Linked DNA regions of Callithrix jacchus. The protein of the gene in region 1 purifies or fractionates together with the protein of each later gene. This does not show direct contact. Links are inferred from orthologs where the notes say so. Each region holds a gene or a part of one and is shown on either strand. Other genes may lie near its edges.

Region 1 (4,196 bases):
AAGCTCAGACCTAACCCCTCTGGTTTTTGCCTGTGCCCATCCTCCGTGGGAGTTTTCCACAAGGCTAGGGCTGGTTTATTTTCCTTTCATCAATCTGTTACAGGCGACTGTCTATTTATCTCTGTATAACATCAGAAAGACAGCTCCCACCTAAAACCTCTAAATTTCTTCAGTACACTTCAAAGCCTAAATGCCTTGTACCTTTCTCTCACTAACAGTAGCTGGAATTCACTGGATTCTTACTATATAACTGTAAGCACTTTATAGACACTTTTTAATGTAATCCTAAAGATGTCACATAGCATTATAAATTGTATTATGCAACTTTTACAAAGGAGAAAACTGAGGCCAGACTGGTGGCAGTTACATGCATTTTCTGAAATCACAAAGCGAAACTCACACTCAAGCAGCTTAGGATAGCATAGAATCTTAACCACTAGACCATATCTTCAAAAAAAAAAGGGAAAAAGAAAACTAAGAGAGAAAAAGTGTCCAATTCTGTAATCCCCAAAGGAAATGCTGACCATTGCACATTACCAACCTCAATTACACTGTCAGGAATCTGGCTTTAAGTCAACAAATGCTTAGTTCACTGAGAAAGTCCCTCCTAGGAGCTAAGTCAGCAACCATTTCTTTCCTTCCTTTTGCTGAAGCCTAGATACACAAAGGACCTAAGTATCCAAATCTGTTCTCTCCCTTTTACTTTTCCTAACTGCCCGTCACCAAGATCTGTCAGTTCTACATAGGACCATTGGATCTGACATTTCTGCCCATTTCTTTGTCAAACGTGAGCATCTACTACATGCCAGACACACTGCTAGGTAGTGGGGATCAAACAGTAAGAGTAACACTGTCCTTGAATCAGGACAATCTTCCAACTATAGATCTCGGGTCCTGCTTCTTCGAAATCTGTTCTACGTGGGACAGCCACAAATGCCTCTTATCACACCACACCCCTGCTGAAACAACTAAACACTGCAACTGAACGTGGTACATTCTAAGAGTGGGTAGACTTGGGGCTCAGCTATTAACTCGTGATTTTTTAAGCAAGTCACTTCTCTCTAGGATTCAGTTTCTCTTGTACTAAATGAGGAAGGTGCACAGAGGATCTAAGAAGTCAACTTTAAAATTCCCAGACAAATGTTAAAGACCACCCAATGAAAAAATATCTCCTAATCTAATCACTTAAGGCCAACTTCCTCTTGCAATCACAGCCCAGTTCAGCTCAACTACTTGCTATAAGTTGCATATTCAGGCATATTACATATTCCCCTTAAGTTCTTATTGGGGGACTGATTTACTTAGGAAGCAACACGGTGCCGTCAAAAACTCAGAGACTGCAAACTAGCAGCACCCCCCCCCCCCCACATCCCTCAAAAGTTTCTGCTTGGCTGGCATAGTAACTTGAGACTGCTGGGTCTAAATGCCTTTTCTCCAACACTTCTACTGTCTCATGTCAAGCCAGCTTCTCTCGTGTCTGTTACCCACCTAGCCCCTTAAGGTTTGAATTTGGGGTAGTATGGACACTACTCCTAAGTGCCCCAGTAGTGCCCTATTCTCCCTTAGTTGGAATTTTTTAAGTGGATGAAAAGCCATATCTCATTTCTTCTGGCTAAATTTCCTACTTCTCTGTAATTAAATAGGTCTTTTCCACTCATGATCCTAAGCATCACACACAGGTAAGGCATCCAAAGGTCAAACTGTCATCCTACCTGCCCGTTTTTACTTGCGTTTGGCTGAGAACATTCTCTATTCACCTCTTCATCCATCCCTGATTGGTTTAGGCTAATCTTGGGTTCTGCTTGGACAATAAATACTACCTACCAAAGCTGTTCCCAGAGGAAGAGCTCCAGAAGTCCTGGGTGTAAATCAATCGCTCAACGATAGTAAACTCCTTCCCCGCTTGGCAGTTCTTTCTTTCTCCAGACCCAGACCATCTTTCCTGAGTTCCCTACTCAATGCTCGCTTCTCGTAATCCAAAATTATGTTCACCTGAAGAGCTTGAATGTTGAACTGCAACGCTACTTTTTTTGCATCTCTCAAAAACGGTATTTCCATTCTTATTTTTTTTCTGCCCTGTTTTTCTAATAACTGGAGTTCCGTGCTCGGCTCAGACTTGTTTAAAGTCCGGACAAACTGCGCCAATGCGGTTGATTTAGAGACCGGACTAAAGGCACAGCAAGTGCTTAATGAAAAGTTGCTGAAATGAACGGGCTTCTTCCGGCTCCGGCATCTGCCACTCTATACTTGCTTTCTCGCTCCACCCGCGCCCAGAAGCACTCACAACTGAGAACCGAACAGGCTTCTCCAGCCTAGGTTTCTGCATGACTGGGCCAGGGTCTCATTTCCTCTTTGCACTGCTGCGTAACCTCCTAATTCAGTAAGGAACACGGGTCACACAGAAGCTCTCGGGCCCACTTTGGGCCGAGTTTCCAGACAAGTCTTCTCGCCCCAAACGCGCCCGCATTCTTACCCGGACCTCCCGGCGGCTCGCCGTGCGGCTGGGGCCCGGGGGCGCCGCCGTCCAGGATGGCGAAGGCCTCGTCGTTCTCGATGCCCGCAATCTCGCTCTCCTGCTGCGCCAAGAAGGCCGCGGCCGGGTCTTCCTCGCCGGCGCCGGCCACTCCGTTCCCCAGCGCGGGACCGCCAGGGGCGCCGGCAGGGGCGCCGAACGGATCCAGCTCAGTCATGGCGGGCAATTCAACGGAACGGACACCAACGGTGAGAGACAACCAACCAACCCACCGACACCACGCCCGGCAGCCACCGCTGTGGTGGCGACTGGCTGAGGAGGACAAGCGGGAGGAGGGAGAAGGGGGAAGCGGAAGCCCTACCCGTGTATCCGGTCGGTCTAGGCAGTGTTGGAGAGCCGAAAAGAGAACAACCAATCAGAGGACAGTAATTGTTCAGAAGCTACCCAATCAGCAAGTGGAGGGGCGGGCCCCCGAAGAAAACTCGTGACTTGGGTAGCGCGGGAGGTGAGCGAGGTGAGCCGCGCGGGCCCCCAGGAGGCGGAAGTGCAGCCTGAGGGGGCAATACTTCCCGGCCTGCGGAAGCTGGACTGACCCGAGACTGCCACCCCGGAGGGGACCCTAGTGCTGCACGGGGAGGTGAGGTGAAGTTAGGGCGACGACGATTGGCCGATTACTGAAGAGGCATGCCACTTAGGCTTTCTGAACCTCAGTTTCCTCATTTGTAAAACGGGGACAAGAATCTTGCTCTTGCCCCCCCTCCCGGGATTATTAGAAGATTGAAAACTTAAAAAAAAAAAATTAATCCTATTTGAATTTGCCTTGGCTTTCTGGGAAAAAAAATTTTTTTTTTGAAATATTTAACGGTCAACCAGCCTAGATTATTTGCTCCCTTGGAGCCCATAGATTTACTGTAATTGATTCATTCCACTCCCAATTTTTCTCCCCATAAGTATTTTTATTAAAACTGAATATGTCTTATCTTCTTTGACGAAGCACTTTTGCAGCCATTACGTCTTTTCAGAGCTAGACAGAAATTACTAACCTGGAAAATTCCTTAAGGATCACTTGCTTCAAAGGGAAACACAGTGGCCCTGCTGTTCGAGGGGCATCAGTCACCCAGGGAGTCAGTGACCAAGAGGAAACACCTGTCTCCTGGGGATTTCCAAGGTACTAGGACAATAAGAAAAAGAAAGTTCAGTGTTTTTTTTTTAATCACGGACATGTTAATAGCTACATGGCTAATTTTGTCTACACCGTAGGCATAACAGTGATTTCAGTTAATCATGCTCATGTTGAGGAGTGCTTATGAACAGGCCGCCAGAAGGACCCTTCTCCTTCACCACTGCCAACACCCTAAAAAGTGAAAAGCCAAAAAAAGAAAGAAACCAAAAAACCAACCAGAGGTCAACAAGAAGCTTCCAGAGGTAGTCAGCAGGGCAGAAAAAAATGTTTTTTAAAAAACAAAAACAAAAAAAACCACGTATCTTTGATGACAAAAACAGGGAGGGAAGGATAGTTATTATGAAGGAAAAATGAAGCAAATAAAAAAAGGATATGTATTTATTTAAAGCATAATTTACTTTTAAAGTTATTTAAAGTCTGAACCATAGGAAAGTATGGAAGAAAAACATTTAAGAAAGTTAAAATGTTAGGGTCTGCATTTGATTCTGTTTCCCCCTCTCTGTTCTTGTTTTTTTGGGGGGGGATTTTTTTCTTTGCTTG
Region 2 (3,500 bases), on another chromosome or scaffold:
CCCACTATAGTAGTGACTGGTTCTTTAGACTATTGCATATACCTTATTAATGAACTACAGGAATGCACATTGATAGAATTCACAATGTCTTCTCATTCCTCTTCCTTTCATGCTTCCCTGTAATGCCTTAGTATCCAATCTAAAACTATAAAAACTACTATTCTTTTGGTTTGAGTGGTAATTAAAACTTCAATTCTATGTTATTTCCACAGTCCAGTAATTTATTTTAAATTTGAGTAATTTCAAATTCCACAAACAAAACTGAAGAACAGCAATATTTTGTTTGAATTTCTCTCTTCTGTACACTCAGTGATCTAAAACACCACAATATCCAACATACAGAAACCTCAGGGAAGGGTTAGTAAACACACACAAGATTGGAATCATGGTGCTCTTTGCTCCTGAATGGAATGGTCCCACAGAAAAAGCACAGGATACAGCACAACATAAGGGCACCTGTTACATATGAAGTGAGCAAAACATACTAGCATTTTCTATATGCATAATGGGGAAACCTGCATAGGTTAGAGGGCCTTTTATGCTCATTTAAAAATCAGGCAAGTTGTCTGTAACATTTTTCAAATTATCTGGAGAGCACTGCAATCCAATGTAGGATATGCTGATTGATTAGTGTTGTCTTTGTTGGCACTGACAGTCTTGCCAGTATTTTTGCTTTAGCTTTTCTCTGAATAAAACAGATTTAAATGCATTTAGACAATACATATTTGTAAGCTGTTTACATACACTAAATTTAAGAGATTCAATATTAGAGTTTCTTTGTTTCTTTAAACACTACAGAGTGCAAATCGGGTTCTTCACAACAGACTGAATATTAAGCAGTTCTTTTAAAGAATGAGGGGGAAGAAAAAAACCCCAAGTGAATAAAACATTGAAACTATTCCCCTCCGAAAATAAATTCTAAAATGATGTGGAATGTGAAATAAGGTTTTAACATAGGTGATCCAAAGTTTATAGTTAGAAACAAAAAAGGAGTCCTTCATGAAATAAAGGTTACAAGAACACGTTGCCTGTTTCCCCCATTATAAACAGAAGTGGGTAGAGACGATGTTTCAGTACGAAAATAGGTGGCTACAGGATCAGCTTTTCATCTCACATGCTGTACCCGAAGCCAGGCTGTGGCTGTCCATACGGTGGTGCAGTATAACCATAACCAAAAGGTGCCTGGGGAGGGACGGCAACACTGGGTCCTGCTGTCAGCATCAACTGGGGCTGACCTAAAGTAGAAGAAAACAAACAGAGCAGAGGGCAGGGGCAAGGAGGCAGGACAAATTGTTAGCATTTAAAACACTGCAATCTCCTTCACTCTAGCAACATAATCTCAACCTCGAATTCAGATGAGTTGTATGGGGGTCACATTTGGCATTGTGACAAATTGTCACAATTTTGGCATGACAGGCTTACTCAAAGTTCCTACCTAAAAGGCCAATAAACAGCGCAGGGCCAAAGGCCAGAACTACTTATGCCTGAACACAACATGCCTGATGCTCTATGCTTGACACATACCTAACATGCACATTATATTTCATGACACAATAAAATCAGCACAAGAAAACTTAAGTTTATTAAATGAATTTTTTTTTCTTTTAAAGACAGAATCTTTCCCTCTTGCCCAGGATGGAGTGTAGTGGTGCAGTCTCAACTCACTGCAACCTCTGCCGCCTGGGTTCAAGCAATTCTCGTGCCTCAGCCTCTCAAGTAGCTGGGATTACAGGTATGCACCACTATGCCCAGCTAATTTTTGTATTTTTAATAGAAATGGGTTTTTTGCCACATTGGCCAGGCTGGTCTCAAACTCCTGGCCTAATTATCAGCCCACCTTGGCCTCCCAAAGTGCTAGGATTATAGGCATGAGCCACCATGCTTGGCTTATCTGACGTTTTTAACAAAACTGAACTTTTAGAGTTAGATTTTTGATTTTAACATGTCTAAATGGCAATGAAACAAATTATTTCTAGAAGTTTCAGTACTAATTTAGAGACAGCAATTAAAAATAAGACACATTCAGGATGGGCGCAGTGGCTCACACCTGTAATCCATCACTCTGGGAGGCCAAGGAGGGCGGACCAGCCTGGCCAATGTGGTGAAACCCTGTCTCTAACTAAAAAATACAAAAAAAAAAAAACCCCCATGACCAGGCATGGTGGCATGGGCCTGTAATCCCAGCTACTCAGGAGGCTGAAGCAGAAGAATCGCTTGAACCTGGGAGACGGAGGTTGCAGGAGCTGAGATTGCACCACTGCCCTCCAGCTTGGGTGACTCCAGGGGTAGGGGGGAGCACATTCAGATATTCTTTAGGTATGAAATACATTAGAACATACACCCTCTATCGAATAATATGTTGACACTCTTTCTTTCTTTCTTAAGAAGTTTAAATAGTTGTTGACCATATGCAGAAAACATGACCTGTAGAGGACCTGGCTTAGAGAGCAAAAAACAAGTAATATCTCTCTCTACCCCTACAAAGTAAGTATTCTTAACCTCCTACTACAGTGTAAAAACCTAGATCAAGATTTCTCCTAACACAAGGGACTTCACGTCTTTCCTTTTTGTGGATAACAACCAAAGCTGTCTGTAGCAAACAAATTATTTTTGGAAACCAGTTTTTAAAAAGTCATCCCTAATCTTGATACTGACATCTACTTGAAATTCCAACCCAATTTTTAACTACCCATGAAAATACCCTGAAGGCAAGCCAAATTCAGCAGTTAACCCCCATGTATTACACCCACCATTTCTTGTTCCTACTGTGTTGCCTATCTCTTTCGCCTGTAAGGATTTGAATTGTTTCCTATCTTAAATAACATGTCAAACATCTTGCTCCCATCTCTAAGAACCCACTTTACTTTTATCAAAACTATCCTGTCCTCTAAATTCCTAAGGCACCTTTTGAGTACAGTAAAAAGGAGATAAAACCATAATAAATATCTATATTATTATTTGTGTCAGTAGCCTGAGATATAATGGTCATATTTTTATGTTCCCTCACGTGGTTATTGTGCTTCTGTCTATACTGTTGAAAGTGACTGTTCAAGAATCTGTTCACCAGCTCTATAATGGAAAGGGGCAGTAATTCAGACATACAGGTTTAAGACATGAAATTATCTTAAATGTTCACTTGAGAATCTGAAGATCCTATCTCTCTGGAAAGTTCTCAAGTGGAAATTCTACCCAGCTCTCTGGCCCAGTTAGAATTTAAAATGAGGATGTATTCTTTATGTAAAGCATACTAAAGACAACCTTGGGATCTTCTGTTACCTTTTGCTCTTTTGAAAATAGAATTCATCAATATTTCTTTTTCAGTGATTTATGAGCAGGTAACGAATGAGGGACCAGATGACAGGAAAGATTCATGTTACAATCTTAAATGACTGTTTTTTGAGTTTTCTTGTATTTAAGATTATTTTAGTAAATAACATCAACACACCTGCTTTACAACTGTTCTCAGAAAAAAATAAGACAGTAGAAAGGAGTTATTTCTT
Region 3 (3,500 bases), about 68 Mb from region 1:
ACAAAAATTTATTTAAAAAAATAGTGGCACAGACTTGAGGAAACACTGGTCAGAAAACCAGAAGATAAAACTCATAGAGATAAAGGTCAAATCCAGCCCTTAAGCTGAAAGCATGGTCCAGCAGGTTGGCACTATGGATGAGGGAGGTAGGAGTTTTAACTGGTCCTATGCTCAGGGCTGAAGCCACTTGTTGGGTGAGGGTTTTGTTCCAACAATTGTCTTGGCCCACCCTTAAACAGTATGCCCAGCACCTAGGGACAGTGCTGAGGCACTATCTGCGTATGTCTGTGAGGCTGTGATGGGAGGGTAGGCTCTTCCACAGGGCTGTGGGAGCCTGTCCAGAGGCTGAGGCAGACTTCCACCTGCCCTGGCCCCACTACTCTGCCCTGTGTCCAGGGAGGTGCTGGACAGTCACAGGGGCATAAAGAGTTAGTCAGCAAGAAAGCTACTTAACCTCTGTCCACAGAGGCTGAGCTGGAGAAACAATCAAGGACCCAGCATGCAGGCGTGCCACCAGGTACTCTCTTCCCGGGGCTGCACATCCTGCTTTGGATTCAAGGGCAATTCTATGCCCTTGGCCAGTAAGTGACTCCAAGTCAGCTGACCCTGGGGAATCAGGCTATTTTTAGGCAAGCTACTTCTGCAGGGGAGAAGGTTCATAAGGGCTAAGATGTTATTTTTTATTTTTTAGAGTCAGAGTGTCGCTCAGTTACCCAGGCTGGAGTGTGGTGGTATGCAATCTCAGCTTACTGCAACCTCCACCTCCTGGGTTTAACCAGATTCTTCTGCCTCTGCCTCCTGAGTTACTGGGATTACAGGCGTGGTGGCACACGCTAATTTTTGTATTTTTAGTTGAGATGGGGTTTCACGATGTTGGCCAGGCTGGTCTTGAACTCCTGACCTCAAGTGATCCACCTGCCTTGGCCTCTCAAAGTGCGAAGATTACAGGTATGTCACCACACTTGGACTATTTATTTTTTTGAGATGGAGTCTCTCTCTGTCGCTGAGGCTGGAGTGCAGTGGCATGATGTTGGCTCACTGCAACCTCTGCCTCCCAGGTTCAAAAAAATTCTCCCACCTCAGCCTCCTGAGTAGCTGAGATTACAGGCGTGTGCCACCACACCTGGGTAATTTTTGTATTTTTAGTAGAGATGGTGTTTCACCATGTTGGCCAGGCTGGTCTCAAATTCCTGAGACTTCAAGTGATCTACCCGCCTTGACCTCCCAGATTTCTAGAATTACAGGCATGAGCCACTGCACCTAGCCAAGATGTTTTAAATGAAAAATGAAACCAGTCACTTGAGCCACAACAATGACTAGACGGCAAAATGCAGGTGCACACACATAGCCATTTCTGTGCCTCACCTGGTCAATCAGCTGTCTCCTGGATGGATTGGTCTCCTCAAGGATGTGAGCCCAGAGCTCTGGATCCTTTCTGCGTACCAGGTAGCGGGCCTCGCTTTTGAACAGAGAATTCTCATTGCAAACCTGAAATGAGCACACTCGTGTGTAACACAGCAGTTAACCAATGGAAGCTGCTTGGGAGGACACACCCCAATTTGTTCCCTGTGTGCCTGATACTGGCTTGGTGGGCAGTCGGGCCCAGGCAAGACGCTGTGCTTTGACACAGGATGAGCAGCATCCTGCAGGGTTACAATGCACTCAAACTACCTCAAAATGCCCTTTCCAAGTTTACAACAACTCCCAGGGGTGTGACACATCTCTGGTCAGTTGAACCACCTGCAATCAGGGACATGCTCTGTCTCCCACTCTGTGTGATATAGCGACTGCTTGCCACGGGAGGCTACTGAGCGTTTGAAATGTGGTGTGTGACAGAAACTAAATTGGTAATTTTTAATTTACTTCAATTTAAGTACTCATATGTAGCTAGCTCTAAACCATCTCCAAAATGTTATCAGAACAGTCTAGAACTGGTATAAAACAGCGCAGACACTGCAACATTTCAAGCCTTGCAGTGTCTGGAGACCCTTTTCTGAATGTTATAACAAATCTCCAAAACAGCAAGAGTCCACTGGAATGTTCTAGCATGAGCAGCACTTGCTAAATCTTAGGGAGGATGGGATCTGTTGAGTGCCAGATGCCAGGCACAAGGCTGCGGCTTGCACATGTGTCTGTGGATGCAGCACAGGCTGCCTGTGTTTCACGGCAAAGGCCCAAGCAGGCTGGTGTGGCATCAACCTCACAGGTGCCCTGTTCATGTCTGGATTTTTAGATCAAATGGTTAGGTAGGAAAAGCTCATACAATTTAACCTAAACATGTAATTACAAACATGTGGATCCAAGCCTGGGCAGACACAGGCAAAGGACCTGGGCAGATGTTTCGAGGAGGGGCCAGCAAGAGCTCATTGGTCAGGGGATGGGGAAGGGCTTGTGTAGAGGACTACCCCAAAAGGGGGGCATGAAGCACAAGGGCACTTGAGATGGGAAGCACCCAAGGAACTGCAGGCCCCTCGGGTAGGGTGGCAAGAGGAGGGGCTGATCAAGCTGGGGAGTCGGGAGAAGGTGGCATTCCACAGAGGAGCTCATGAGTCAGCCAGGGAGTTCTATGTTGCCCTCAAATTACCAGGCAACACTAAGGACTGTCAGTAGAGGGGTGATGAGTCAGGTTCAGGGCCAACTGGTCTACAGGTATGATGCATACAAATTGTATGAGCAAGTCCCCAAAAGCTGTGAGAATCACAAGGAAATACATCTTATGACCCGCCATCTCCAGGTGCACAGAAAGCCCTGATCTACTCCCCACAGGGACAGCTTTGAAAGGTTCCCTGGGAGGCCAGGGCTAAACAGGCAGCCCAGCACATCTGCTACCCACCTTGATGAGCTCAAGGTCACACTGCCCCCGCTCATAGGCGACACAGGCCAGATGGGGGTCTCGCTTCTCACAGTAGCGACCCACCACGCTGCTGTCATAATAGGCGTTCTCTCTCAGGAAGCACTCAGGGCTGTTGTTGCTGTCGATGTAGATTTTAGCCAGTGCATTGTGAGTGGCAGGCTCCTCACAGCCTTCCTGAATCCGGGACTCCAGCCAGGGAAGCAGGAGCTTGAGCCTTTGAAAGAAGGAAGCTGCTGTAAAGTCTTGAGGTTACCACTGGAAATCTTGAGAGCAACTCCAGGGCTCTGACAGTTGTTTCCTGAAACAAAAAGTCTCTGAGTCCATTAACTTCAGGTTGCTCTAGGGACCAAGATGGACGTGGTTTCCAAACTGATTTCTACTGTTAGGTTTTCCCCCAAGGTCTTCACAGTGCCAAGAGCAAGTAACTCATTGCTACATCTAAGATGTGTACAGGAATGACCAACTGTGGAGACAGTCCTGGAGAATTAGAAAGAAACAACAACAGATACTAGAATCCAGAAGCAAGAGAAAACAAGTAAGGACACCTTACCTATTTCTTTTTTCTACTTCAGCCACCAACTCATCAGTAGAGAACTGTCCTGTCACTGCCATGATTAAGTGTTTAATCACTTCCTCAGAACAATCC

Evidence for each region.
Region 2: the proteins of CLTA (region 1) and CLTC purify together in Homo sapiens (co-immunoprecipitation; 6 studies listed by BioGRID and IntAct, with this or other methods). This does not show direct contact. The link is inferred for Callithrix jacchus from reciprocal best matches to the Homo sapiens genes CLTA and CLTC.
Region 3: the proteins of CLTA (region 1) and CLTCL1 purify together in Homo sapiens (co-immunoprecipitation; 3 studies listed by BioGRID and IntAct, with this or other methods). This does not show direct contact. The link is inferred for Callithrix jacchus from reciprocal best matches to the Homo sapiens genes CLTA and CLTCL1.

The regions. Positions count from the first base shown.
Region 1 is NC_133502.1:143,113,980-143,118,175, reverse strand, and holds the start of CLTA (clathrin light chain A), read right to left. Parts: upstream 2,801-4,196; 5' UTR 2,691-2,800; coding exon 2,474-2,690; intron 1-2,473. UniProt on the Homo sapiens protein: Clathrin is the major protein of the polyhedral coat of coated pits and vesicles.
Region 2 is NC_133506.1:94,269,249-94,272,748, reverse strand, and holds the end of CLTC (clathrin heavy chain 1), read right to left. Parts: intron 1,236-3,500; coding exon 1,111-1,235; 3' UTR 201-1,110; downstream 1-200. UniProt on the Homo sapiens protein: Clathrin is the major protein of the polyhedral coat of coated pits and vesicles. Two different adapter protein complexes link the clathrin lattice either to the plasma membrane or to the trans-Golgi network.
Region 3 is NC_133502.1:210,864,360-210,867,859, forward strand, and holds part of CLTCL1 (clathrin heavy chain 2), read right to left. Parts: coding exon 3,405-3,500; intron 3,069-3,404; coding exon 2,834-3,068; intron 1,489-2,833; coding exon 1,366-1,488; intron 1-1,365. UniProt on the Homo sapiens protein: Clathrin is the major protein of the polyhedral coat of coated pits and vesicles. Two different adapter protein complexes link the clathrin lattice either to the plasma membrane or to the trans-Golgi network.